Linked DNA regions of Daphnia pulex. The protein of the gene in region 2 interacts with the protein of the main gene of each other region in a pairwise test. Links are inferred from orthologs where the notes say so. Each region holds a gene or a part of one and is shown on either strand. Other genes may lie near its edges. The genes, in order: proteasome subunit beta type-3-like; cell cycle checkpoint protein RAD1-like; PAN2-PAN3 deadenylation complex subunit pan3-like; calreticulin-like; proliferating cell nuclear antigen-like; 3-hydroxyanthranilate 3,4-dioxygenase-like; T-complex protein 1 subunit alpha-like.

What was found.
Region 1: the proteins of cell cycle checkpoint protein RAD1-like (region 2) and proteasome subunit beta type-3-like interact in a two-hybrid assay, tested with the Caenorhabditis elegans proteins (2 studies listed by BioGRID). The link is inferred for Daphnia pulex from reciprocal best matches to the Caenorhabditis elegans genes mrt-2 and pbs-3.
Region 3: the proteins of cell cycle checkpoint protein RAD1-like (region 2) and PAN2-PAN3 deadenylation complex subunit pan3-like interact in a two-hybrid assay, tested with the Caenorhabditis elegans proteins (2 studies listed by BioGRID). The link is inferred for Daphnia pulex from reciprocal best matches to the Caenorhabditis elegans genes mrt-2 and panl-3.
Region 4: the proteins of cell cycle checkpoint protein RAD1-like (region 2) and calreticulin-like interact in a two-hybrid assay, tested with the Caenorhabditis elegans proteins (2 studies listed by BioGRID). The link is inferred for Daphnia pulex from reciprocal best matches to the Caenorhabditis elegans genes mrt-2 and crt-1.
Region 5: the proteins of cell cycle checkpoint protein RAD1-like (region 2) and proliferating cell nuclear antigen-like interact in binary tests that used the Caenorhabditis elegans proteins (3 or more experiments, as listed by UniProt). The link is inferred for Daphnia pulex from reciprocal best matches to the Caenorhabditis elegans genes mrt-2 and pcn-1.
Region 6: the proteins of cell cycle checkpoint protein RAD1-like (region 2) and 3-hydroxyanthranilate 3,4-dioxygenase-like interact in a two-hybrid assay, tested with the Caenorhabditis elegans proteins (2 studies listed by BioGRID). The link is inferred for Daphnia pulex from reciprocal best matches to the Caenorhabditis elegans genes mrt-2 and haao-1.
Region 7: the proteins of cell cycle checkpoint protein RAD1-like (region 2) and T-complex protein 1 subunit alpha-like interact in a two-hybrid assay, tested with the Caenorhabditis elegans proteins (2 studies listed by BioGRID). The link is inferred for Daphnia pulex from reciprocal best matches to the Caenorhabditis elegans genes mrt-2 and cct-1.

The regions. Positions count from the first base shown.
Region 1 is NC_060028.1:6,178,896-6,181,620, forward strand, and holds proteasome subunit beta type-3-like, read right to left. Parts: upstream 1,501-2,725; 5' UTR 1,370-1,500; coding exon 1,367-1,369; intron 1,302-1,366; coding exon 974-1,301; intron 904-973; coding exon 666-903; intron 610-665; coding exon 561-609; 3' UTR 501-560; downstream 1-500. Other genes in the region: transcriptional repressor CTCFL-like, read left to right, coding at 1-55, 120-274; Bardet-Biedl syndrome 4 protein-like, read left to right, coding at 1,859-1,984, 2,059-2,171, 2,232-2,489, 2,560-2,713. UniProt on the Caenorhabditis elegans protein: Non-catalytic component of the proteasome, a multicatalytic proteinase complex which is characterized by its ability to cleave peptides with Arg, Phe, Tyr, Leu, and Glu adjacent to the leaving group at neutral or slightly basic pH.
Region 2 is NC_060028.1:2,685,039-2,689,081, forward strand, and holds cell cycle checkpoint protein RAD1-like, read left to right. Parts: upstream 1-1,243; 5' UTR 1,244-1,370; exon of another isoform or gene 1,371-1,822; intron 1,823-1,881; exon of another isoform or gene 1,882-1,906; 5' UTR 1,907-1,986; coding exon 1,987-2,100; intron 2,101-2,199; coding exon 2,200-2,298; intron 2,299-2,358; coding exon 2,359-2,513; intron 2,514-2,581; coding exon 2,582-2,709; intron 2,710-2,765; coding exon 2,766-2,872; intron 2,873-2,935; coding exon 2,936-3,000; intron 3,001-3,025; exon of another isoform or gene 3,026-3,065; coding exon 3,066-3,285; 3' UTR 3,286-3,302; coding exon of another isoform or gene 3,303-3,338; 3' UTR 3,339-3,509; coding exon of another isoform or gene 3,510-3,621; 3' UTR 3,622-3,654; downstream 3,655-4,043. Other genes in the region: polymerase delta-interacting protein 2-like, read right to left, coding at 3,510-3,621, 3,700-3,779, 3,839-3,964, 4,025-4,043. UniProt on the Caenorhabditis elegans protein: May be a component of the 9-1-1 cell-cycle checkpoint response complex that plays a major role in DNA repair. Promotes DNA double strand break-induced cell cycle arrest and apoptosis, thereby playing a role in genome stability.
Region 3 is NC_060025.1:5,199,312-5,203,480, reverse strand, and holds the start of PAN2-PAN3 deadenylation complex subunit pan3-like, read left to right. Parts: upstream 1-1,369; 5' UTR 1,370-1,606; coding exon 1,607-1,987; intron 1,988-2,050; coding exon 2,051-2,375; intron 2,376-2,522; coding exon 2,523-2,681; intron 2,682-2,796; coding exon 2,797-3,075; intron 3,076-3,154; coding exon 3,155-3,372; intron 3,373-3,454; coding exon 3,455-3,594; intron 3,595-3,697; coding exon 3,698-3,898; intron 3,899-3,966; coding exon 3,967-4,129; intron 4,130-4,169. UniProt on the Caenorhabditis elegans protein: Regulatory subunit of the poly(A)-nuclease (PAN) deadenylation complex, one of two cytoplasmic mRNA deadenylases involved in general and miRNA-mediated mRNA turnover.
Region 4 is NC_060026.1:14,047,033-14,051,308, forward strand, and holds calreticulin-like, read right to left. Parts: upstream 2,801-4,276; 5' UTR 2,665-2,800; coding exon 2,583-2,664; intron 1,975-2,582; coding exon 1,870-1,974; intron 1,802-1,869; coding exon 1,598-1,801; intron 1,537-1,597; coding exon 1,385-1,536; intron 1,317-1,384; coding exon 1,008-1,316; intron 939-1,007; coding exon 774-938; intron 709-773; coding exon 490-708; 3' UTR 393-489; downstream 1-392. UniProt on the Caenorhabditis elegans protein: Molecular calcium-binding chaperone promoting folding, oligomeric assembly and quality control in the endoplasmic reticulum (ER) via the calreticulin/calnexin cycle.
Region 5 is NC_060019.1:11,504,121-11,507,069, reverse strand, and holds proliferating cell nuclear antigen-like, read left to right. Parts: upstream 1-1,316; 5' UTR 1,317-1,448; coding exon 1,449-1,669; intron 1,670-1,730; coding exon 1,731-1,896; intron 1,897-1,974; coding exon 1,975-2,373; 3' UTR 2,374-2,449; downstream 2,450-2,949. Other genes in the region: beta-1,4-N-acetylgalactosaminyltransferase bre-4-like, read left to right, coding at 22-413, 469-587, 670-982. UniProt on the Caenorhabditis elegans protein: This protein is an auxiliary protein of DNA polymerase delta and is involved in the control of eukaryotic DNA replication by increasing the polymerase's processibility during elongation of the leading strand.
Region 6 is NC_060026.1:16,211,941-16,215,142, reverse strand, and holds 3-hydroxyanthranilate 3,4-dioxygenase-like, read left to right. Parts: upstream 1-1,185; 5' UTR 1,186-1,472; coding exon 1,473-1,555; intron 1,556-1,618; coding exon 1,619-1,781; intron 1,782-1,844; coding exon 1,845-1,951; intron 1,952-2,015; coding exon 2,016-2,370; intron 2,371-2,433; coding exon 2,434-2,592; 3' UTR 2,593-2,702; downstream 2,703-3,202. Other genes in the region: arrestin domain-containing protein 17-like, read right to left, coding at 1-24, 90-263, 329-511, 570-787, 850-972, 1,031-1,145. UniProt on the Caenorhabditis elegans protein: Catalyzes the oxidative ring opening of 3-hydroxyanthranilate to 2-amino-3-carboxymuconate semialdehyde, which spontaneously cyclizes to quinolinate.
Region 7 is NC_060022.1:2,033,944-2,037,920, reverse strand, and holds the start of T-complex protein 1 subunit alpha-like, read left to right. Parts: upstream 1-1,177; 5' UTR 1,178-1,349; coding exon 1,350-1,416; intron 1,417-1,505; coding exon 1,506-1,591; intron 1,592-1,659; coding exon 1,660-1,788; intron 1,789-1,850; coding exon 1,851-1,948; intron 1,949-2,017; coding exon 2,018-2,534; intron 2,535-2,595; coding exon 2,596-2,707; intron 2,708-2,772; coding exon 2,773-2,863; intron 2,864-2,932; coding exon 2,933-3,125; intron 3,126-3,188; coding exon 3,189-3,352; intron 3,353-3,410; coding exon 3,411-3,621; 3' UTR 3,622-3,977. Other genes in the region: uncharacterized protein LOC124195433, read right to left, coding at 100-489, 602-734, 854-882. UniProt on the Caenorhabditis elegans protein: Molecular chaperone; assists the folding of proteins upon ATP hydrolysis. Known to play a role, in vitro, in the folding of actin and tubulin.

The DNA.
Region 1 (2,725 bases), about 3.5 Mb from region 2:
GAAATGGATGGTTCCCTGATGGAAGGAGAAGGAAATACTATGACCTCCTTGGATGGTAAACTACTAGTTATTACGTTAATTTCGTTAAGTTACTACATCGAATTTTATTTATTCTAAAGATGAAATTGAAGATTCCATGCAAGCCACCCCTCGCGTTCGTCGTAGCTCTCAGGTTGCTAAAGCTCAGGATACTAGCAAGGACGTGGCTAATTGTTTTGGATTCGACGACGATGAAGATGACGAAGAAGATGAGGAGGAGGAAGATGAAAAGTGAAATTCATGTTGCCTATGAACGTCATTAGTGTTTTCGAAAGCATTGTGTAAACTGTTTTTCTGAACGGGAAGTTTTCGGTTGGAAATTTGGACGAAAAAAAGAAAAGTGCGAGTACATTTTTGCCGACAAGTATCTCTTTTTGAAGCGTCTTTGAAAACGTTGGATTCTTCTGTTTTCCTTTTCTGTCCATTGTAATTGGCTTGATGCAAACAATACACACTATAACTGAATTTTTTAAATGGTGTATGATCAGTTCCAAAATACATTGATAATGAAAGTAAAAATTTCAATCCATCCTGGTCTTGAGCATCCTAGTTGTCACTTTGTCTTTTTCACTGTAAAAGAAAACATTATTAGCACAAAACACAAATTTATGAAAAAATTAACTTACATGATGTGAACAACACCTCCCCATCCAGAAATAGCATCTCTATCAAATGCATTCATTAGTGCCTGGCTGATGGTTTCAAAAAGATCATCAGGTTCTAGGTTTGGTTCCCACAAGGCTTCACACATTCCAAAGAGTTGTTCAGCACATGTTCCAGCTACAACAAAATCTTCAGGCATGTTAGGACAACCAATAAGATCCATGGCAGAAATAAATGGTTCCCAGGTAACCGGATCAAGCCCTAAAACAGACATTCAGAAAAATAAAATATAATTACCACATTTTAACCAAGAGGCCATTAAAGAACTAACCTGCAATGACAGGCTCAACAAAGTAAGGTCCAAAGCGTCTCTCATACAAAAGATTGGACACCATAGCAGAAAATGTTTGTGGTTTGATTTTACGGCTTTCTCTGAGCTCATAGAGATTGAGACGGAAGCGAAGTCTTTCATGGACCGTCAAAGTATCAGTTGCTAAGCCAGGAAGACCAATGTAGAGATGGGGACCCATTTCAAACATTCTCTGAAAATCCATAGCCAATGTGGAAGTTTGGACTCCAAAACGACGATCAGAGGCAATTGCCACGCATCCCTTGCCTTTCATTGCAAGAACACATCCACCATTGTATGATAGAATAGACTAAGAATAAAGTAAGAATGAGACATACACACACATTAAAAACTTGAATAAATAAGTGGATTTACCATATTGTCAGTTTCAATGATCAGCTACCGAATGTTTCGTTAGGTAGTAATGAACACAAATTTTTCAATTTTCGCTTGTCACTTCAGTACGACTGCAGCGCGCACAATCCCGAACGGCAAACCGGTAAAATCCATCTATTGACTTTATGAGCAACTACATCGATAAAATTTTAATTTAAAAAAAAATCATCAAAAACAACCAAAGATTTTTTATAACTTTATAAATTTTCTAGATTTACACGTCTTCTTCATTTTGGAGCGTTAGTTAAAGTTTGTTCTCTTACGTTTCCCCTCCTCCCTCTTAAATTTACCATTTTGGTAACCATAGAAACACGGACATTCCTTAAACATAACAAAGAATTCTAGGTTCAGGCGTTCAGGTTTCGATTTTGGTTATGAAAAATAGCTGTTGACATTTTCTTTTTCAAATACTATATCTCAGAAAATACAATAATTTCACTCAGCTTATTCTTCAGTGTATTGATAGGTAACATGAAAACAAACTGGCTTCTAGAATTTCATTTTGTGCGTGGGGACTTTATATTGTGTAAGAAAATTATAGAAGATTTGTCAAAAAAGAATGGAAATCGTCCGACCGAGTTCTCTACATATATCCTAGTATAATTTACTTGACATGGTAAGAGACTAAGACTCATTTTTTTAAATGTCTGTTTCTTTAATAAATTATGAAGGCACGAATGTACTATGCGGAGGGAAAAATCCAAGAGGCGATTCAACTGTTTCAAACGTGTTATGCTCAAAATCCGAATAATTCCGGAACGCTACAAGAAATCGCAAAATGTTTGTAAGTTTCTGCAAAACCAAGATAACAATTTTGAATTATTTATTTAAAATGTGTTTTTAGAATTGCGCAAGGTCGCTACAAAAAAGCGATTGAAGCACTCACGCATGCGAAACTTTTGGCGAAACAACCCGATTTTTTAATTCTGTATGACTTAGCTTGCTGCAATGCCAACCTCAAGCAATATGATTTGGCTGAAGAAAGTTGCAGAGAAGCCTTAAGAATTTGTAAAAGCAAAGCCGTCTATAAACTGCTTGCCGCTTGCCTTATTCATCAAAACAAAATTGGAGACGCTATTGAAGTTTTTCGCTTATCATTGAGGTCAATATAAAAATTACTTGAGTTATGATATTTATTATATTCACAACAGCTAACGCGAATATGTAAGTAGACTATTTCCCAAGAGCAGTCAACTTTATACCACTTTTGGTAAACTGTGTGCGGATATGAATTTCGACGATGACGCATTAAAAACTCTGAAAGCGGCAATTAAATTAAATGACAACAACGTTGTCGCATTAAACGAACTGGCGGTATTACATCAGGTATTTTCTCAT
Region 2 (4,043 bases):
AACGTCAAAATGCCAATGCGCAGGCTCTAACTTCGTAGAGATCGAGGTCAACAATCGATGTCGACATTCTCGATGACCGTAGTGTGACGTTGGGGAAGAAGAAGAAATAAAATAAAAAAGACACGCTCCAACAGAGGCACCTGGCGGGGGCAATTACAGATTCAAAGGCCAGAAAACCAAAAGATTGATGAGCTCATATCCTCCAACACCAAACACAATAGGGAACTGATTCACAACCTTTGGCTCTGCAGAGCTCGAGAAATTCAAGACTGGGGGTGCACGAGCTTCTAAGCAGTCTGATATTATAAAGACTTTGCATGCACAAACTGATGTCAGTATGAGCAATCCTGCTTGTTTCTAGGAGGGAACGGGGACTAGATTAAACTTGTGCAAAGCAATTACCTTGGGTCTGTCGCTCTACAAATAGAGCGGCTTCCAGGAGAATCTCCAAACTCATTGTTGGACAACCACCAGCCGCTGAGTGTTAGACCTGTGGGTCAAGAAGACACAAACAGTTTTAGTCAACAGTGTAACAGCATTGAACAACAACGATGACATCCAGGATCCACATTGCATCAATATCAAATGAAAAAAAAAATAAAAATTCACACAGACGCACGCACACAGGGTCATTCGCTTTTGGGTTTCAGTACTCGTTTCATTTTGGCCTGAGGCTGGCGGCCTTGAATGAGCTCTCTATAGTCTATCAAAAGAAAACTTTTAACAAGAGGAAAATGCCTCTTTGTTTGCTTGCTTTTAATGTCTAAACTAAATGCGACAAGAATTAAATCGGCAAAAGATACTGCATTTAGTCGAAAAACCAAAGTCACTCTGATCGCCAAAGTGACGTTTGAAAACTAACACTACATCACAAGATAATATTATCGAGAAAAACTACGCACTTCAAGCGAGGCACCAGGCTACACGTGTCCCAGCGATGACGTCACCAAAATGGGCGTCACCGATTTTTGCCTTTAGGTTTTCTTGGGGGCGCCGAAGCTACTACTATTGCTGCTTGCCGAGTAGTCTACGTGCCGAATTACTGGGTTATAAATGCCGGTAAATCAAACAATCGAAACTCGATTGCACACATACTTAGCCACAAAAGAATTACACTTCACTTCACGGTTTAAGTCTCAGCACCGAAAAAGACGTTTGGGCTGTTTTTTGTCTTGTATCTGTTATCACGTTGCTCCTCGCACGTGAAAGAGAACTGCTCCCCTTCAACACCGCCAACTAAGGCGGTACCGAACTGAGTACACGCGTCGACCGCTACAACAACGATACTGGCGGCAAGTTTTCTCCCTCGCTCCGAACCATCAACAGCCATCAACTTGGTTCTTTTTTCATTCGTCCTTTACTGCTTTTATGTATTTTTATTTAAAATTTCATCTTTTCATGACTTTTACATTTAAATTCATTTCCCGCTGCCTTAATCAGTTGAAAACTATGTTTGGAAGCCAAAACATTTCTAGGTGGCGCAATGGTCGCATACGACCAATGGGCGTGCTCATTTTCGAATTCCCCATCTCTAAACTGTTGTTTTCTCGCGTTGTACAACGCCGCAATGTTTCTGACTTTCTGTTTAATAATAACAATATTTTCCTGTTTGAATCAATAAGCCGGTAGGCTTTTTCGTCGTCTCGAGATTAAAACTTGAAATTTTTACTTCCATTCCATTGCAGACAGTTTAGCACTTTTTAAATCCAACAAATTTGATTGTGCTGTATAGTTGATTGTGATAAACACAACCAGATTTTGAATTCAGTCAAAACTAGAATAATTCGTCTCGAATCATAGTTCTCTTGGATGTAACAGTTGGGTCGGTTCATTTTTTGTGCAGTACATTTTTCTGTAAAAAATCCTAGCCTTATTAACCAGAACATTTTTTCACTGATCATTTCAGGATGATCCTTTAGGAACCCTTTGCATAATTCTCAAAACTACTCCCACAACATTAAAGAGCAAACGAGTCCCACATTCACCATGCCAAATTTTCCATTTCAAAACACGTCTGGAGACCAAAGTCACATCTTGATGATACGTATGGATAATGCAAAAATTATCTCACATATCCTCAAATCCATAAATTTCAAAGAGGTAAATTCTTCAAGAATTGTAATACAGAGAAAACATGTTTTGTTAGCGATCAAAAGCTAATCCTATTACATCCTTCTTGTGATTTTGCTTTCCTTTCAGAATTCCGTATTTTGCTGTACTAGAGATGGATTAAAAGTCACAGTTGAAGACATGAAAAGTGTCCAGCTAAATGCCTTTATAGAGCCTGGAGTTTTTCAAGTAAAAAGAATTCACAAAAACAATAATTTTCACAAAATTTACTAACTCTTTGAAATTTAGAGTTATGTTATTAAAGAAGATGAGATTAAATTTCAGCTTAATTTAACTGTGCTTCTGGAATGTTTGAATGTATTTGGCTCTAACAACCTTCAAAGTGGCAGCACACCAGCCTTGAAACTCTACTATAACGGCCATGGGACTCCCGTTTCTATCTTGTATGTAAAACTACAAAGAATAATCGTTCTTTATACTTATTTCGAATTATAATTTTTTTTTTTGGCAGGCTGGAAGAATCAGGAGTTATCACTGACTGCAAGATACGTACAGTTCATTTTGATCCTGTCCTGGATTACGATTTTGGGTCGGCTAACGTCATCGGTCGTATCATTATGAGTTCGGAATGTCTTAAAGGTAATTAAGCGTTGAAAGAAGACAGAAATTTCCTAATATAATTATTGTTTTTATAGAGGTGTTTTGTGAGTTGGACTCGACTAGTGATACTGTTCAGTTTTCTTTGTCACCTGATTCGTCAAATTTTCGTATCACAACATTTGGTCATTCAGGAACTTATCATGTAAATCACGTTGTAAAGTTTTTAGTGAAGCGCGTTCTAATTCTAAACGTTTTGGGTTTCAAGGTCGATATTCCGAAAGAGAGCGATGTAATAGAAACTCTTCGTTGTACCTCGGCAGTGTCCTTTAAGTACGAAATAGATACACATACATAATAAGGCGTACACGATGTATTAGCTCAATTTCTGACTTTAGATACAAGCTCTCCTTGATGAAACCATCCATCAAACCCCTTGGAATAGCGCAAAAGGTTTCGCTACGAATCGACGATACGGGGCTCATATGTTTCCAATTCATGATCAAGGTAGAAGACAACCACAACTGTTACATCGATTTTTACGTAAGTTCATTTTTTTTTCCAAGTTCTATCCGTCAAATTACGTTTTACAACCGTCCTCTCCCTTATACACTCTAATAATTGATTTCTTATAGTGCCCTGCGGACGTCGACTTCGACGACGACGAATGAATGCCACGAGAACGAATTATTGACCGCATCACTAAAACGAAAAAAATGCCCTAGAATTATTCTAGAACGAAGATCTTTGAAAACCTTAGAAAAAACTAAAAAGCCAGCAGTTGTCTTTCATGTACAAAGTTTGTTGTTGTTCATATTTCATGATTATCATGAACGACTCCATTAAACCACGCCGGTTGGCAAGCTATTATCCTCGTTCTTGCTTTCCAATGAAAAGGGAGGGATGCGACAGTCAAAGGTGTGCCCATCTTCTCTCTCCATTCGAAACGTTCCCCTGTTCATAAAAAAAATAAATTATTTGAACTTGGCTGTTGTACTCTTTAATAAATAGTGAAAAATAACTTGAAATTACCACATATGCCCTGATGGTGCTTGTAGTGAAATATGGCTGCTATACTGGAACGCTGGTTGTTCGGGTGACAAGACCGGTTCCTTAAGAACGATTTAATGTTACATTCTAATTTTGAACGGTGGTTATTGACGTTAATTACCTGTCCAATTACTCCTCTTCCTCGAACCGTTTCTAGGGTACCCGAAAGACTGAAAATACGCCAGTGCCGTTCACGTAATTGTACAGACAGTTCTCCCAAGTTTTCGAGCCGGATACAGTAACGCCACTGCAAAAGTTAAAAATTACATTTGTAAAAAATTTGATTCACATTACCAATGGAACGAACCCAAAAGACAGTTGAATTT
Region 3 (4,169 bases), on a different chromosome or scaffold from region 2:
TGGTGGGGGTTGAAGGAAGGTTGCCATCTTGGATGGGACTTTTCCCAATTTGGTGCAACCACAACCCAAAAGCATTGACGTTGTCCATAAGAAAAGGGTACGAAAAGAAGGACAGTCAAGGAAGGGAAGAATGGAGTGGGAAAGAAAGGGGTCGGTCCCTCTTTTTTTCTCTCTCCCTTTGTCTTTCAATTCGTACACTTTCTTATGGACAATGTCAATGGTTTTTGGTTTGAGGTTGCACCAAACTGGGAAATGTCCCATCCAAGATGGCATCCTCGAACCACTCTATTCCAGGGCAACGCAAAAAGATCAATATTAGTTGGCCATAACTGATCATTCTTTCCAAACACTTCTGGATCCAATATCCAGTCGCTAGCAGTGATAAGGAGATGGGCCACTCTGTGTAAAGTCCAGCAGTCGACATTTTGCCCCCTCCCCCTCTTCAGACGACGAATTCGACTGCGCTGCTCCTTTCGGCGAGCTCCGGAAGCATTTCCCAGTAGTTCTCCCCCTTCAGGACCGCCCCTATCGCAAAGTAAGGCAAAGCTTCCGGAGCTCGAGGAAGCAAAAAGGCCATGCCGCTGACGCAGTTAATTTTGAAATATTGTATTAATTTTAAAATGTGAGAATTACCTGCTGCATTAAGCTGACCAAACTTTATGAGGCCAAAGCAAGCTATCAATACGGCAGTGGTGCAAACAGACAAATACAGTGTTGAAACCAGAGCTATAGATGATGGTAGAACCACTGCCTGTAAAATTTTCCTCTAAAAATTTTTTTCTAAAGTTGCAGCCAATATCGCGAATCGAAAGTGGAAATATGTGCTTACGTATCGATTTAGACCTAATTGTCAGCGCCAGCGGCCATCTACTGAATCTTTTTTAATTTTAGTACTGGAAAAAAAATATGTTTCCCAACACACCCGCTGTGGCTCTGTAACTAAGGTCTCCAGCCAGAACACTTCCAGGAGGAAAAGGCAATGGAAGGCCTTTCCTTATAAATGGTTCTACCATACATCTATAACTCTGCTGAAACGGAAAAAAGTGGTGCCGAACTCGACGAAACTGGGGCGGAAAAAAAGTGGCGAAACTGGTTGCAACCGTCCAACTGCTCAATAAACTTTCAGGCAACCTGCGATCATCGATTTATTATTCCCACGATAGATGTCGTGGTAATAGAAAGTTTTGACGGTTGTGCAGGTCATGGTGCCGGTTGTGCATGAAGTCCATCAAGTACGCCTTCATTTGTGTCCATCATGCTACGACATCTTTCGTGGCACTCGGCTTCAACCAAGCAGTACAGCATCAGTCAGCCAGCAACAGCATGCAGTCAGTATGGTCAAGTAAATGGTACTTTTCGCCCTCTGTTGAATAAAACAACTGCTAATCGTTGAAGTGGTTTGTTGGTTTGTCGAGCTCGACGAATAGGAAATAGGCCTATATTATTTTTCGTAGAAATTACATTCTCTTCATTGTTATAGTCTTCTGTACATTGTAAAGTGTATCAGTGTATATCATTTGCGAATAGTGTTTGACTCTGAGGGGCAGAATCTTAATATTGGTTTGGTCGTTATTGGCCTGGACAGAGAATTGTCTTAAAAAGGTTTATGATGGACGATATAATTAGCCATTCACGTAAGCCTGTTGTGTGTCGCTATTTTGCCGCCTCTGGAACTTGTTTTTATGGAAATGATTGTCAGTTTTTGCACAACTCAGTTTCTCGATCAAGCGTTTCACCTACATTTCCATTGAATTCATTTTCATCTCCAGTTCGCTCAGTCAGTTCCACTGCTTCAAATTCGACAGAGTTTAGTTTGTCAGTTATAGAGAGTAATTGCTTACATCAATCATTTGGGAAGAATGTAAACACAATTCCGTTGTCTAATTCTGCAATTTTAATTAAAGATGAATACGTGCAGAAATCACAAGAGTTACCCATATCACCAGATTTGCAAATAGCTGGAGGTTCTAATTCGTCCCTTTTTGAGGTATGTGTGTTCTGTTCATTGTAATCTATTGTTGTATCTAATAAGTTGTTTTGCACAACTCAGGAAAATGTTGGAGGTACCACTTATTACTACACGCCAGATGAAAATGTGAAACCCACTGTAGAAGAACCAATAATTGGAAAACACAGTCAAATTACTGAAAAAATGTCTCACACTTCTCTTTTAAATAGAAGAATTCAATCACCAAATCAATTGGTCTCAACATCACAAAATCAGATGTACTCAGTTTATAGTGGACCTTCCAGTTTTTTACAGAGCTGTAGTGGTCAGCAGAGATCTTCTTTTTTTATGAATGAAGATATAAGAGCTGACTTACTTCAAAGAAATTCAGTTGCATTATCTATATCAGACCCTGCTTTGTTTCCAGGTATAGCCAACTTATTTCATGTCCTAAGTTTATATTTTATTATTTAAGAAACACTTTATCTGAGCTGTTTGATTGTAGCAATCAATTTTATTACAAACATACATTAACTTTATGAAGTATCTAAATTGCATACATTCTTTTAATTAGATTTGCCAACGGAAGTTGATCACTATCATGAGTTGGTCCCCCTTGAAACCCACACTTTGAATCATGCTGTCAAGTCTAACACTTATGGCTTAATTACATCTACATATAAAGCATCAAATAGCAGAACCGGCATGAGATATTGCTTGAAAAGGATTCATGGTAATATTTAAATGAATAAAAACTTTAAACTGAATCTTCTTACCTAATATATAACCTTACAAAAAAGAAGTATTGAGATTTATTGGAGTATTATTATTGTTTATAATATCTTTAGGTTACAGAGTGACAAGTGCTAAATGTATGTCAATGGTAGAGTTATGGAGGAAAGTGCAGCAGTGTCATTTAGTGACTTTGCGAGAAGCATTCACTACCAAGGCCTTCGGTGACCATTCTATAGTTTTTGCATATGATTATTACCCTGGAGCTGAAACACTTATGACTAAGTATTTGGCTTCGACTGCTCCACACCTTGATCCATTCAGCAGTGACCCATCTGCTCCGCGTCCATATACAATGCAGAAAAACAGAATGCTGCAGCAACAAGCTGGCAAAGGTTGTTTTTGTGTTTTCATTATCATTATTATTTTATTGAGTATTTTATTTTATTTTTGATGCCTCCGCGTTTTTGCAAGGTGTGTTACCTGAATCTTTACTTTGGAGTTACATAATCGAATTGTGCTCGGCGTTGAGATCAGTACATTCTGCTGGTTTGGCTGTAAGAGCATTAGATCCATCTAAAGTACTTATAACTTCAAGAGGCCGTTTGCGTTTGTGCGGTGGTGGAATTTTTGATGTACTTACCTATGACTCTAGTTCTTCCAACATCACAGCTTTGCTTCCTCATTATCAGGTATGTAAAATTTTCCTTTTGTAACATACTTATTGTTATATAGTTGATGTTTAACTGTCATCATTTATGACTAAAAATGAAGCAAGAAGACCTTTTGGCCTTGGGTAAACTTATTCTTGCCCTGGCTTGTAATTCGTTGTTGGCACTTCAAAGGGATAATGTCTCTACATCTATGGATATCATCAATAAAAATTATTCTTCAGATCTGCGCAATTTGGTGATGTGAGTATTTTTTAATATTATATGTAGATACGTTAAAAACTGCAATCTGGGTTAGAACTATCTATACTCTGTAAAACTGCCCACTGAACTATGATTTCGTTAGGTATCTGCTCTCCACTACGCAAGGTTCAAGATCGAAAAACATACAGGAAGTGATGCCAATGATTGGAGCAAGGTTTTTCAGCCAGTTAGAAGCCGCCACTCTGCATGCCGACTATCTAGAAGATCAGCTAGCCAGAGAATTGGATAATGGCCGGTTATTTCGTTTGCTTGGAAAATTGGGAACCGTTGTTGATCGTCCAGAGTAAGGCAAATTAAATTGGTTAAGTTAGTCTAGTTACCTATCGAAGTAAACTTTATTGAATGTTTAAGGTTAAATTTGGATTCGACATGGTCAGAAACGGGAGACCGATATTTGCTTAAATTATTTCGCGACTACATGTTACATCCTTGTACGGATGATGGACGACCATGGGTCGATTTGGCCCACATTGTCGCATGTCTCAATCGACTAGATACTGCTTCTCATGACAAAGTAAGGACTTCATAATTTGAGAAAGAATTGAAGTGTATTA
Region 4 (4,276 bases), on a different chromosome or scaffold from region 2:
ACTCACTCCCCAGATAGGGGAATCGGCAATGTATTTAAAAAAAAGTAGGAATTAAACGGGCGCCTCGAGCTCATTTTGTATAAAAAGAGGGATGATGTGACGCCATGGTTTAAATTGAAAAAAAAAAACCTTCATTCAAATAGACGAATTACAAAACAACACCGTATGAGGGGGGAGAGAAAAAAAAACAAGACTACAAAGAAACGGGAAGCAATATAACAGTCTAAATTCTTTTTCAATTTCAGTTCCAAAATTATTTTTTTGTCTTGAGCTAGAATTCCTCAGCTTTTTTGTTTTTTTAAAGATTATTGGAACCGAGATGCATCAGATTTTAATACCTCTGTTGAATTGTGACAACTTATTAACCGCCGATATAAAGATGGAACAGCTGATTAAATTATATAAATTTTTTTGTTGTATTGTTTTTTTTTTGGTGGAACCTAAGTTTTCTGTCAGCTCTTCCTTGTGTGTGTTTGTTATTTTTGCATTTTACAACTCATCGTGGTCTGCGTTGTCGGCTTCGGCTTCTTCAGCGGGTGCAGCAGGTTTGCTGGGCTCGGCATCGTCTTCATCTTCGTCATCTTCATCCTCGTTGTCTTCTTTCTTTGACTTGGCCTCTTCTTCCATCTTCTTCCGTTCTTCCTCTTCCTGAGCTTCCTTCATTTTCTTCTCGGCTTTGCTGGTGGCAGTCCACAGCTCATCACCAATCTAATGAAAAATTTAGAATTACTTTCTGTACAAACAACCATTAAAAGTCTAATTTGTATTATTACCTTTTTGGCTTCCGCAACATCGTCGGTGACGAGGACATTGTCGAAGATGGTGCCAGCCTTTACTTGCCACAAATCGAAACCAATGATGCAGGATTCGTCGTATTTACCAATGGTGGCATCGGGGGCGTACTCGGGGTTATCGATTTCTGGGTGGACCCAGACACCCTGCGATTAAGCAAAAAAGTTTTATAAAGACAAAGCCTCCCATCAACATTTTTAAATAGTTATACATACTTTGTAAGCGGGGTTGTCGATCTGCTTGGGTTTCCACTCTCCCTTGAAGGCAGGGTTGTCGATCATAGCAGGCTCCCATTCACCATCCATCTCATCATCCCAATCTTCGGGCTTCTTGGCCTCGGGGTCGGCAATGTGTTCAGGAACATCCCAGTCGGCGGGCTTGACATCTTCAGGATCATCGATCTTGGCACGGTCATCCCAATCTTCGGGTTTCTTGGCTTCGGGGTCTTTGATGGTCTTGGCAGGCAGGAAATCCCAGTCACTTTCCAAATCACCAGACTCAACTTTCTCGTTATCAATCAAAACCTGTGGAAGAAGACAAACAGTCCAATGAATAAACAGTGTGAAAGGTGAGCAATTAATAATGGACTTACTTCGTAGGTCTGATCTGGCTTAACGATGAGTGTGTACAAGTGAGTGTAAACATCATCCTTGGGTCTGATCTCTTTCTTGATGAGATGGTTCTTTCCCTTGTAGTTGAAGATGACGTGGACTTTCTTGTTGGAGGGACCGCAAATGTCAGGGCCTGTGACAGGATTTGGGGGTTATTTCAGCTACTATATCAACAAACTATTAATAAAACTTACCAAACATGATAAGGTATGGAGAGTCTCCATGCATATCATCTTGCTGCAAACTGCAGTCAAACAGCTTGACATAGCCACCTCCACAGTCAATGTTTTGTTCATGTTTGACGGTGAATTGGAGGACTAGTGGCTTATCCTTGTTGCTGAAGGGCTTGAACTTAGTGGAAAGGCCATAAAACCTGGCATCTTGGGAAGTCTGGATACCTATTAAGAGCAATTCATGTCATCAACTATCATCCAAAATAATTTATAAAATCCAGATTAATCCTTACCCAAATCTTTTTCAGCATCACCGTAGAATTTGCCGTGAGTGAGAACAAATTTGCCTGCTGTTTCACCTTTGTTGGTCGACTGGATCCACCTTTTCTCCCAGGCAGCTGAAAAGAACAAGATAAGACGTACACGTCACCAAATGCCACACATGAACTCGACAAATCGAAAAAGCCGGGTAGAGGTCGTGGCACGCTAAACGTCATCAACTTCAGTTTGAAGGTGAAGAACTTTTTCCTGTTATCTCTAGTTCACTTGGCTTTTATCATAATTTCTATTTCTCTTGTTACTAATCGGAAAATGTTAGGATCGTTTTCTAATTATTTTTAACCTTCAAATTTTTTTGTCGTCCGCAAACTCTCGTTCACGTCGTTTTAATTCCGCATGGCAGCGATGAAAACAGATGATCAACTTGATTGTAATTAAACTCTTTTTTAGTGGCATTAAAAGTGAAATTCATATTGCCACGTCCAAATAATTCGTGCATTACAACGATATCAAGCATTTGGCTTTGGCATGCAAAGTGCTTGCGTGTGAAAATGGCAGATATGTTAAAAATAGCTAGAATATTTGTTTTACGTGTTACACAGCCTCCTGTTGTAAGCTGACGAAATTTCTAGAAAAAGACTCCCCTGCTACCCTTGACAAGTAACCCTCTCCACCATCAACCAGATATCGGGAAAAAAGGGAAATACTTTATGAATCTTTTTCTTACCTCCATCTGAGAATCGCTCGTCGAGGAAGACTTCGGCCGCAACAACGCCGATCAAGGCGATTAATAATGCTAAAGCTTTCATTTGTACAAATGAATGTGATTGAAGACGATGAACGAGTGACCAGGACAGACGAGTGAGACAAACTGACGTGATGACTCTCCTTTACTCAGGAGAAGTTTTTACGGAAAGGGAATGGGAAGGTGGATAACACCCGTAATGCTCTCATTGGTCGGTTTGTCACACTAGAGCCAGAGAGATGAGCCACTTGGTGGGTGGTATCCGATCGACCTGCTACCTAGCGATAGAGGGGCTACTAGCCGGTGTTGCATATGAAGGCCCGGGAAGATTCCCCAGGCTACCGAGAGCTCATCGTTAGGTGGCGCGCAAATCATCGGGGTAGAATCTTCTAGAGAGTTGCTCATCTCATTCACGAACTCACGTTTTTCTCTGGCCGTCACGTGACTGTCGTGTACCAATCAAATTGCGCCGTCTGGCAGGCGTTCAATTTTCCACGTTTATTCCAGTTTTCGTATTATCCGGTCATCTATGAAAACGCGTTTTAATTTAATTCTCATGAACTTTATGTATTCTATTGTTAATGCGCATTTTTTTCATTCACGGCCAAATTCTTTTCTGTGGACTATTAAACAATCCTGATATTGTTATATTGAGTTTGACAAGCATTTCCTGTATGCATTTTCAGGTAATCAAAATTGGTAATCTGACATGCCCATATGGAATCTCAATATCGATGACGTGTCGTAAATAGAATATCTCTCCGATTCTCCCTTTCAATAAAAGTTGGGATACCATATATTCCCACATGTTCATACAGCCATGTGACGTATAGCTCGGGGGGTGTTGTCTTGCGATTAGATTGGACCACGTACCGAGGGATAAGACGCGCGTTACATCCCAATTGGAGGGGATTCTTACTACGTAGACAAGTGACCAAAATCGACACGTAATCAACCACAAGCAATCGTAACGCTTATACAACCGTATATTCATGAAAACATCATATCCGACGAAAGGGGGGGATAATAAAAAACGAACCGTTTAACAACCGAGAAAACACACATAGAATAATAATGTTACAATCAAAAAGAGAGAAAAAGAGAGAGAGAGAGGACAATTAATTAGAAGATTACATGTAAATTTGGGGTTTTGCAATCATGAGAATTTGGTATTAAAAGGGGGAGGGGAGGAAACACTGCAAAATGGACCAAATATTTTTTCTTTTTTTTTGTATATCGATGTTATTTTTGTGAGGTCGCGCTTCTAAGTCCGGTTTTCTTTTTCCTTATTCTTATCCTGCCATGTGTGAACACCAATTAATTTTTAATTATATACATAATAAGGTTTTGTTTGCTGCCAATTCGTCTTCGAATAGCAATTAGGGAAATTGAGGTGATTTTCACGTGCAACAACATTCAGAAGGGGAGAGGACGATAACGCACAACAACCGAGAAAAACGCAAAAACGAATGCATTCTTTCTTTAACAACTAATATAAACTTTTTCCTGCCAAATAATCAATGCACGGAATGCTCAACTTTTGATATTGCGGACCTACTACGTCGTGCCAATTTAACCCTAAGTAATCGCAGATAAACGATAATATGAGACCGATGATGTTTTCACTGTGGCTACTCAGGGAAGTGTGTGTTTGGAAAACGAGAAAAAATGGGTAC
Region 5 (2,949 bases), on a different chromosome or scaffold from region 2:
ATCTTTCACCTCGTGAGTTAGGAAGCCAACCAATTAACGGCAATTTTTGCTTTCATCTGTACGAGCGCCAACTTTCTTCGGAAGGAATCGAATTAAACCTGAACATTAGTGATATTGTGCTGAAAACTTTCACCAATTCATCGAAAAATATTGCTATCGGTGGCGCTTCAAAGCCTGTTGATTGTTTCTCAAAATATCGCGTCAATATCGTCGTTCCCTACAGGCGACGTCCAGAACAACTACGTGTCTTCCTTCATTATTTGCATCGGTATTTACAGTTACAGGAAATCGACTACCGGATTATCGTCGTCGAACAAAGCCCGGAAATGCAATTCAATCGTGGAAAGCTATTTAACGTTGGATTTGTTGAGAGCCAGAAACGTTTTCCATCCGATTGCTACATATTCCATGACGTAATTTGTTTCTCATGAATTATTGGATCACCGAGAGATATATTTGTTTTCATAGGTCGATCTCATTCCCTTGAGCCTGAATAATATCTATGCCTGCACAAAGATGCCTCGCCATTTGTCCTCAGCTGTAGATACCTTCGATTATGAGCTACCTTATTGTGGAATCTTTGGCGGGTAAAGTTTGAATTTAATTTTATCTATTTTTCTGCATTTCATCATGCTCCCTGTTTTTTTTTTTTTTTTTTTTTTTCTGTAGTGCTGTGGCAATGACAACTCAACATTTCCAAAGTATCAACGGGTTTTCCAACTTGTTTTATGGATGGGGAGGAGAGGATGATGACCTTTACTTTCGTGTGTCTCAAGCTGAACTTGGCGTGGTACGATTTGAAAAAAATGTTGCGAAATATAAAATGCTTAGACACGAAAAAGAGGTTCCCAATCCTAACCGCTTTGTAACCATGAAAAAGAACAAAATTATTCATGCCGCCGAGGGTTTAAATAGCCTGAATTACACTATGTTGTCTTATGAGTTGAAATCATTGTATACGTTGATGCGTGTCCACCTGTAAATGAGCTAATTATTTGATCAATTGTAAAATAATTTCCCATGTATTACTCCTCGATTCGAGACTTTGTATTGTAATAGATTTGTGTTAAGTATTCCTGGAATTCAACATTTTTCTGTTAAAGTAACTAGTTTCAAAATCTCTATGACACTCACATATCCTTTAGTATTAGCCATTGTGTGCATCATTGCCACTGTCACTAGATCTGGAAACAGACAAAAGATTCGAATTTTTCCCTCCAACCTTGAGGCATTTATATATCACATGATCAAAATCGTCCAATCAGAATCGTGCGTCAGATGGCGATGATTTTGCCGCGAAAACCACGGCGGCAGTCTGCACTCAGTCATTGTTGAGTACTTGGAAGCGTTGAGTTGAGCGTACACATTCCTGCTACGTCATTTGCTGCTTCATCGTTGTTACTACGTGTTTCATTGTCAATTCTTATTTACATCATTTTATCATCATCATGTTTGAGGCACGTCTTCTTCAGGGTTCTTTGTTGAAGAAAGTTATGGAAGCATTGAAGGATTTGTTGAACGAAGCAGCCTGGGATTGTTCTGATGCCGGTATCCAACTCCAAGCCATGGACAATTCCCATGTCAGCCTCGTCTCTCTCAATCTGAGAGCTGAGGGATTTGACAAGTACAGATGTGATCGTAACTTGTCAATGGGCATGAATTTGGGAAGGTATGATTCATAACAAAATTGTATTTAACGAAAATTTCTTAACAGTCTGTTGATTTTACAGCATGTCCAAGATCCTTAAGTGTGCTTCCAATGAAGATATCATTACGATCAAAGCCCAGGACAATGCTGATACTGTTACATTTGTCTTCGAGTCCCCAGAGCAAGATAAAGTTTCAGACTATGAGATGAAGCTGATGAACCTTGATCAGGAACATTTGGGCATCCCTGTAATTGAGCTTTAATTTCTACTTTATTTCCCCTAATAGCAAACTGGTTTATAATTCCATATTTTTTTTTTTTTTTAGGAAACTGACTATGCATGCACCATTAGGCTGCCATCTAGTGAATTTGCCAGAATTTGCAGAGACTTGAGTCAATTTGGAGAATCTATGGTCATTTCCTGCACCAAAGAGGGTGTAAGGTTTTCAGCAACAGGAGATATTGGTACTGGCAACATCAAGCTTGCCCAGTCTGCCAAGGTTGACAAAGAAGAAGAGGCTGTCGTCATTGAGATGCAGGAGCCCGTCTCTTTGACATTTGCTTGCCGATACCTCAACTCTTTCACGAAAGCCACCTCCCTTTCGAAATCCGTTCAGCTTTCTATGTCCCCTGAAGTTCCCCTGGTCGTCGAGTATAAAATCGAAGATATCGGCCACGTCCGTTATTACCTAGCCCCTAAAATTGAAGACGAAGAAGCTGCCTAATTTTTGTATAAGATCACCACTGGCGCACCTAAGTTCTATGATGTCATTAAAAATCATACACTTTTTGTATTCCTAATTTCCGTGTTGTCTTAACTAATTTTCGTTTCAGGCTTTTATTGAAGCCATTCATTATAGCAACACGGTCTCCGCGTCTGCGAGCGGTGTCCAGAAGATATTCTGCCCCACTCATTACCTATTGCCAAGTTCAGTAAATAAGCGAAGTTCGATTTACAGTTTGACGAGTCCATTGTAGCGAGTTACTAAATTAATCTATCGTTAAAATTCTGAATTTTAGGAGGTAAGGTTAAAAATTAAAAACAAAACAACATTTCATTTTGTATTTTCTGGACTTGTTCTTTTTGCGATAAACATGATAATCATTGGTAGGAGCTCTTACCAATATTTAAAAAAAAAAGAACGTGAGACTTGCTGAAAAGTGAAATAATAGAGTGATGACACTATTTCATTCGGCAGCAGCAATGTCGAGCTCCTAGATCGAAGCATCGGAAATTGAGGGTTATTATTCATCGAAGAAGGAATATAGAAAGGACTGCAAACATTGACATTTTACAGTTG
Region 6 (3,202 bases), on a different chromosome or scaffold from region 2:
AAGTGCACCAGGATCGACGATGTACTGTTCACGAACAATTTTAGGTTATACAAATTATTCAGTTTAGTATTTAACTGTTTTGAGATCACCTGGATTTGGTAGGACACGTCAATAATCCCGCAAAATGGTAGGGTAGATGGAGGAAGTTGAGGAACAAGGAATTGCGCCTCCATAATGTCAGCCTCAGTAAAACGTTCATGGCTGTAGACTTGTAGGACTTTGGTGTCTGAATTCGTTTCCCCCGCGGCAATGAACTTGGTAATCTGACAAAAATTAAGACAAATTTTAATTAAAATGTACGAATAGTTTTTTTAACCTAAGGGCGTACCTGGATAAATTGCGCTTTAGAACCTCTAAGGGATATTCCACTTTCATTATCTGTGTCTGCTTTCAATAAGATCGTCTCTCCCGGAGTGTATCCAGCACGTTCGATCTTTGCATGCGCTGTAATGGGATTAGAGGTGCAACAAAAACATCCAAGTCTTTTTGATTTCATCTTTTTGACCGGTAGCTAGAGACAGAGGAAATGTTACTTATACTTTTGATCCAAATGTCAATGTTTTTCATACCACAGCCGCTGGCAACGTATTGAGATCGACGATGGAACCGACGATGAGACTAGTCTGGCATGCGTAGTCGCGTTTGAGCCACGGACGTTGAGCGACAGAACGGATAGTGTAGCGAATATGCCCAAAAGATCCTTCGAACGATGGGGGAATTTGTGTTGGTAGAACAAAAGTGAATGGATATTGATGACGACCGACGCTCAGCTCGATAACCTGGTTGCCTATATTTAATAAGACGTGAATAATACAATTCAACTTGTCAACAAATGACCAAATGTTTTACCAGGATTGTAGAGGCAGAACTTGAAATCGAAATACTGTTCATTTGAGCAGCGAAATTCCGTGTTCTTGTCATTTTTCACGGGAATACGAACCTCTGCCAAGCCGCTGCATTCGATTTGAATTCCTACCGACATTTTTCATTCGACAAAATGTTGACACAAATTTTGTAACAATTAATTTACCTTTCAGACTTTCGACTTTGCTGTTGGTAACGTGCACAGTTCCATTCACCGATTGTCCTGGATAGAAAATTCCATTGCGATTCTCAATCACGATTTCAAAACGTCCGAACCCCATGACTGCTAATGACTTACTCAGTCGAATTTCTATGGTTATAAGTCGACGTCGACGTTACAACGTTTGCCAATCGACAAATTATCTTATTTTTCATTAGAAATTTCAAATACCCGCGCATTTTGAAGGTGTCCGTACATGGATGAAGCAAAAAGTCCTTGGGCTATTGTTCCGTTATACATTTTTCTCATCTTAACCTTGACGATGTTTATGGAGAAAAACCTTTTCAGGGCCGCCGTTTCTGCCAAGGGAAAATTTTGTTTTTGGAAAAGCGTCTTAGTCGTTTCTTAGCACACAGCCGGGCAGAGTGTGTGCAGTAAGTTGTTCAAAATGAGCATTCAATTGTGCAACATTAATCAATGGATTGAAGACAACAAAGCTTCTTTCTTACCACCTGTTTGCAACAAACTCATGTGAGTAAATCAAAGTATTTTTACAAATCATCTTTTTATTGACTGTCAAATTTTATTTAATAGGCATGAGAAACAGTTGAAAGTCTTCTTTGTCGGAGGGCCCAATCAGCGTAAAGATTTCCATATTGAAGAAGGTGAAGAGTTATTCTACATGAAAAAGGGTTCGATGGAGTTGATTGTTCAGGAACAAGGAGCTTTCAAAACGGTTGCCATTCAAGAAGGGCAAGTAAGTGAAATTATTTCATATGTTTTCTATTTTTCTGTTAATGTATTTGTAATTTTTTGTAAGGTATTTTTACTTCCGGGAAAGATTCCGCATTCGCCTCAGAGGAAAGATGACACGATCGGGTTGGTAGTCGAGAGAGAAAGAGCGAAACAAGAATTGGATTGCCTCAGGTAAAATCTGTAATCAAAATATTTCTCTAGAAGGATTAATATTTTTAAGTGAATATTATTGTAGGTATTTTGTAAACGATTCGACCGAGTCGCTGTTTGAGAGGTGGTTTTATTGCGACGATCTTGGAGTTCAACTTGTTCCAGTCATCAAAGAGTTTTTCGCCTCGGAGCAATGCAAAACAGGACGTCCTGTACCGGGAACGATTCCGGAGAATCCTCATTTTCATCCAGATGGCCAACTCCAATTGGAAAATCCTTTCAACTTGAAAGAGTGGCTCCAATCTTATGGCACTGAAATCCACCAAAATGGCAAGAAGAATTTGTTTGATGGCGCCAAATACAAATCGGACGTCATTATTTATGGCAAAGGAGTCGATGAGTTTAAAGCGATTCAACATGAAATTTGGTTGTGGCAATTGGTAAATTATCGTAAAATTGATTTTTAATTCATTCTCTAATGAAATTTTACGTCATTTCAACAGGAAGGTGAATCCGTTGTGAAATTAAACGGACAAGACATTACCCTCAAATCCGACGATAGTCTTTTGATTCCGGCTGGAGAAGAGTACCAATTGATGCGTGATGCCGATTCGTGTTTCCTTATGTCAGTAGCCATGCCCACGCCAAATGGAAATATTTAATGCCAAACAACCAACACAGTCAGTATATTGAAAGGTAGTTTTTTTAGTAGGGACTAACTATATACTAAATGTATTAGTAAAGCAATAAATATCAAATGCATTTCATTAAACAATGGATTTGTTTTATGGTTTAAATATGGCCTTAAATATGCGTTTGAATTGCAGCAGTGTATGGCATTGTGGTTATCAGCCTCGCCTTATGAGGAGATTGTCATTGGTTCAAGCCCATTAAATTCCACATCTTGTAAGTTTATGAATTTGGGTCTCATAGTACAAAGGGCGTACTCTACTATGTGTACCTCCTCCCCATATATGAGAAATATTAATTTCAACCAATTACTTAAATACTGAATTCATTACCTAATGTGAAAGAAGAAAACTGATTGGTTGAACATTTTAGTTCACGATTTTTCTCAATTTGGCAATTCGTTCTTAAATAAAACCGACCCCGTCCTGCTAATATCAATTAGCAACCCGATCTATTGAAAGTTTTTGTTTTTTTACAAGCAATGAGACGCAGTGTTAATGTGAGTGTTGACTTTGGTTTTAATATTCGAAATTCAAAGACCAAGTATGGTATTGGTGCTGTTGCAGCACAGGTAATTTAAAA
Region 7 (3,977 bases), on a different chromosome or scaffold from region 2:
GAACAAAACAACTATGAAAATTTCTCTAATAACGGCTTCTATAAACGACATAAACTTGGTATAAATATTAATGTAGTTAACGGCAAGTGGCTATCCTCATTAAGAAGCATTGCCAAGGATTCCGGGCAGAGGAGGAGCCGGGGCCATTTTCTTTTGCCTGATTCTTCTGTTACATTTCACATCCGTCGAAGTTATATTGTTACTATGTTCATTTAAAAGTTTCTGGTTCGCCTCGACCGTCGAGGAATTTTCAAAACCATTTTCTTCCTCCTCTTCGATCACGGTAGCTTGATGTCTAAATCGAACATTGCGTCTCTTGGCCACAGCTTCTTCGGCAAGCTTCTTGGAGACCAATACAGGTGACGGGATCTTCACATCTGTACTGGGGTCGTCTACAGACGGATGTGGATTCTCTATATCCGGCTGCTGCCGGTTATCCCCACTTCGATCCGTTGGGTCGTTCTCTGCAATACTGTTGTCCCCGATGCACTATAAAAGAGATTCACCACAAACATCCGTTGGTTATTATTGCTATGGGGCATATACAATAAGTAATAATACGTTTGAACAGCAACTTTTAATATTGAATTGCGGGACTTACCAATATACTTTTCTTAATACTGATGGTACCACACAAAAGTCCGAATAGTCCTCGCTGCCTCCTCGGTCCTGCGTCGATGGCTGCCATGGCGAAGAGTCTATCACAATGTTGTATCCGAGTTGAAGTCGATTCACTTTAATGAAGATAGCAAAATAATATTTAGTCATCCATAGACCATCTAGCTAAAGTCGAAAATACTACAACTGTGGTGTTCAAGTTTTGAAAAAATCACCTGAGTTTCAGTTAGCTTACAAAATATCATGCTGATTTATGCCTGACATATCGTGTTCTCGAACCGCGTGCTCTACGTAATGGGCCTCTCGTTCGACTAGCTAATAAATGTCCCGAGGGTCGGATTTTAGTGAATGAAAGGAATCAATGGATGATATTGTAAAAAAAAATGGCAGACGAGCACCTAAATAAATTTACCATAAGATTTTATTTACTAATTTATTTTCTAATTAATCTATGTATTAAATATAGCTGAAAATGATTTCCTAAATTCAAGAATGCTGCATTTACCTGCAAAGCATACCAAATATGAAATGCCCCATGTGACTGCGACGGCGTCGCATTTTAATAGTACTAGCTCGACTTCACTTGTGGCAATAGTCATTTAGCCCAAGAGCCAGAACGTTCTGCCCGTCATCTTTCACGTGCAGCGTGCTCGAACAACGTCAAGAAGTGTGAGCAAAGAAAGGAGCTGATTAATACAGATTTAGTAATAGTCTCATAAAAAAGTACCAAAATGTTCTCCTCAAGTCTGTCTCTTCCTGGAAAACGTACCACGGGCAATTCAGTTCGCACCCAAAATGGTAATTATTTTGTTCTTTGTACCGTGAGTTATAACGCCTAGTGCCGGTACCGGTTGACATTTTATAACACATGTTTTTAATTATCCTAGTTTTGGCTGCAAGTTCTATCGCCAATATTGTCAAAAGCTCTCTTGGCCCTGTGGGACTAGACAAAATGCTGGTCGATGATGTTGGGGTAATGCAAATTGTGATATTTCGACACAAAGGAAAATTTTCTGTAACCTCCCTTTTTTGTTGTTTCAGGATGTCACTATTACTAATGATGGTGCTACTATCCTAAATCTACTTGAAGTTCAGCACCCTGCTGCCAAAGTGTTGGTTGAGCTTGCTCAATTGCAAGACCAAGAAGTTGGAGACGGAACAACCTCAGTGGTTAGTTGCTCGGTACTGGATTGTTTATTTGCTTTCAAAGGTCTAAACTGTTTTTGTTGCAGGTTATTGTTGCAGCTGAGTTGCTGAAAAATGCAGATGAATTGGTTAAACAAAAGATCCATCCTACCTCTGTCATCAGTGGTTATCGTCTGGCTTGCAAGTAAGATCACCTACAAATCTCTTGTTTTGACATGTGATTTGATTTGACAAACATGTGATTGTTTTAAAGGGAGGCAGTGAAGTACATTCAGGACAATTTGACCTTGAGCGTCGAGGAGCTTGGAAAGGACTGTTTGATCAATGCCGCCAAGACATCTATGTCGAGCAAAATCATCAGCGCCGACGCGAACTTCTTCGCCGCCATGTGTGTTGACGCTGCCAATGCTGTCCGCGTTACAGATAACAAAGGGCAAGCTATCTATCCAATCAAGGCGATCAACGTTCTTAAGGCTCATGGCAAAAGTGCTCGGGAAAGCCTTCTCATCACTGGTTACGCCCTCAACTGCTCGGTTGCTTCCCAGGCAATGGTTAAGAAGATCACCAACGCCAAGATTGCATGCCTTGATTTCTCTCTTCAAAAAACCAAAATGAAAATGGGAGTTCAGGTTCTCGTCACAGACCCCGAGAAGCTCGATGCTATCCGTGCTCGAGAATCTGATATTACGAAAGAGAGAATTCAGAAAATCCTCAATGCCGGAGCTAATGTTATTTTGGCTACTGGAGGTATTGACGATTTGTGCCTCAAGGTAAATAGCGTACATATAATCTGAAGTCTAATCGCTAACTGACATTTATTTGTTTATTCAGTATTTCGTAGAAGCAGGTGCCATGGCTGTTCGTCGATGCAAGAAAGCTGACTTGAAGCGTATTGCTAAAGCGACAGGAGCCACTTTACTTTCTTCCATGGCCAATCTCGAAGGTATTACATTATTGATTATTCAACCTTTCAGTGATGTTCGGAACTATATATATTTTATTCTTTAGGTGATGAAAGTTTCGAAGCTTCTTCTATCGGTGAGGCCGCTGAAGTCTCAACGGAGCGCATCTGCGACGACGAGCTCATTATTATCAAAGGGTGAATTATTTGTGGAAGCTAATGTTATCAGAATTAGCATTTGACATATTTATTGTTTTTTTTTTTTAGAACCAAAGCGCGTACTGCTGCATCCATCATTCTTCGTGGTCCCAACGACTTCTACTGTGATGAGATGGAACGCTCGGTGCACGATGCCCTCTGCGTCGTCAAACGTGTTCTAGAATCCAAAACTCTAGTCGTTGGTGGTGGCGCTGTCGAAGTTGCACTCTCTATTTATTTGGAGAGCTTCGCTACTTCATTGGTAAGTGGTACTTTTGAATGCCAAAATTTGATCACATGATTGACTTTTCGTTTTAAAATGCAGAGCTCCCGAGAACAGTTGGCGATTGCCGAGTTTGCTCACTCTCTGTTGGTTATTCCCAAGACCTTGGCAGTCAACGCTGCTAAAGACGCAACTGATCTGGTGGCTAAGATGCGTTCCTACCATCACTCATCGCAGTCAAAGCCTGAGCATGCTAATTTGAAATGGTAAATCATTTTGGATTATCTGTTTTAAAATATTTTATTGATTGCTGTTTCTTTCAAGGATCGGGTTGGACTTGATGGAAGGTGCTGTCAGGGATAACCGTCAAGCCGGTGTCTTTGAGCCCGCTGTCTCAAAGATCAAATCTCTCAAATTCGCTACAGAGGCCGCTATCACCATTCTGCGTATTGATGATATGATCAAGCTTGATTCCGAAGATAAGAACACGCAAAGTTACCAGAACGCGTACCAATGCGGACAGTTAGACGACTAGATGATTGAACAAACAAAATAACTAACGTCATTTTATCAGCTGTTTCTAGTTCTGCGGTCAATCTGAATAAAAATTAAGCTTTTTCCAGAACTAATTGCTTAATAGAAACTATTAAATGAGCTGGTTAGGGTAAGTTAACATTAGCCTTGAAAAGCCCTTTCCATATTTGTTTTTCTATTTAATAATTAACTTGTAGAAGTCACGAATTAGATCTCTTTGCACCCATGGGCGTGGTCACACTCTATGCGAACAGCGGAAAGTGCTACACGTGATTGTTGGACTGAGACGACTATCAGGTAGACTACGTCCAAAAATGGAAAATTGATTGAGTTAAACATAGAAATTCGTTGTTTTAG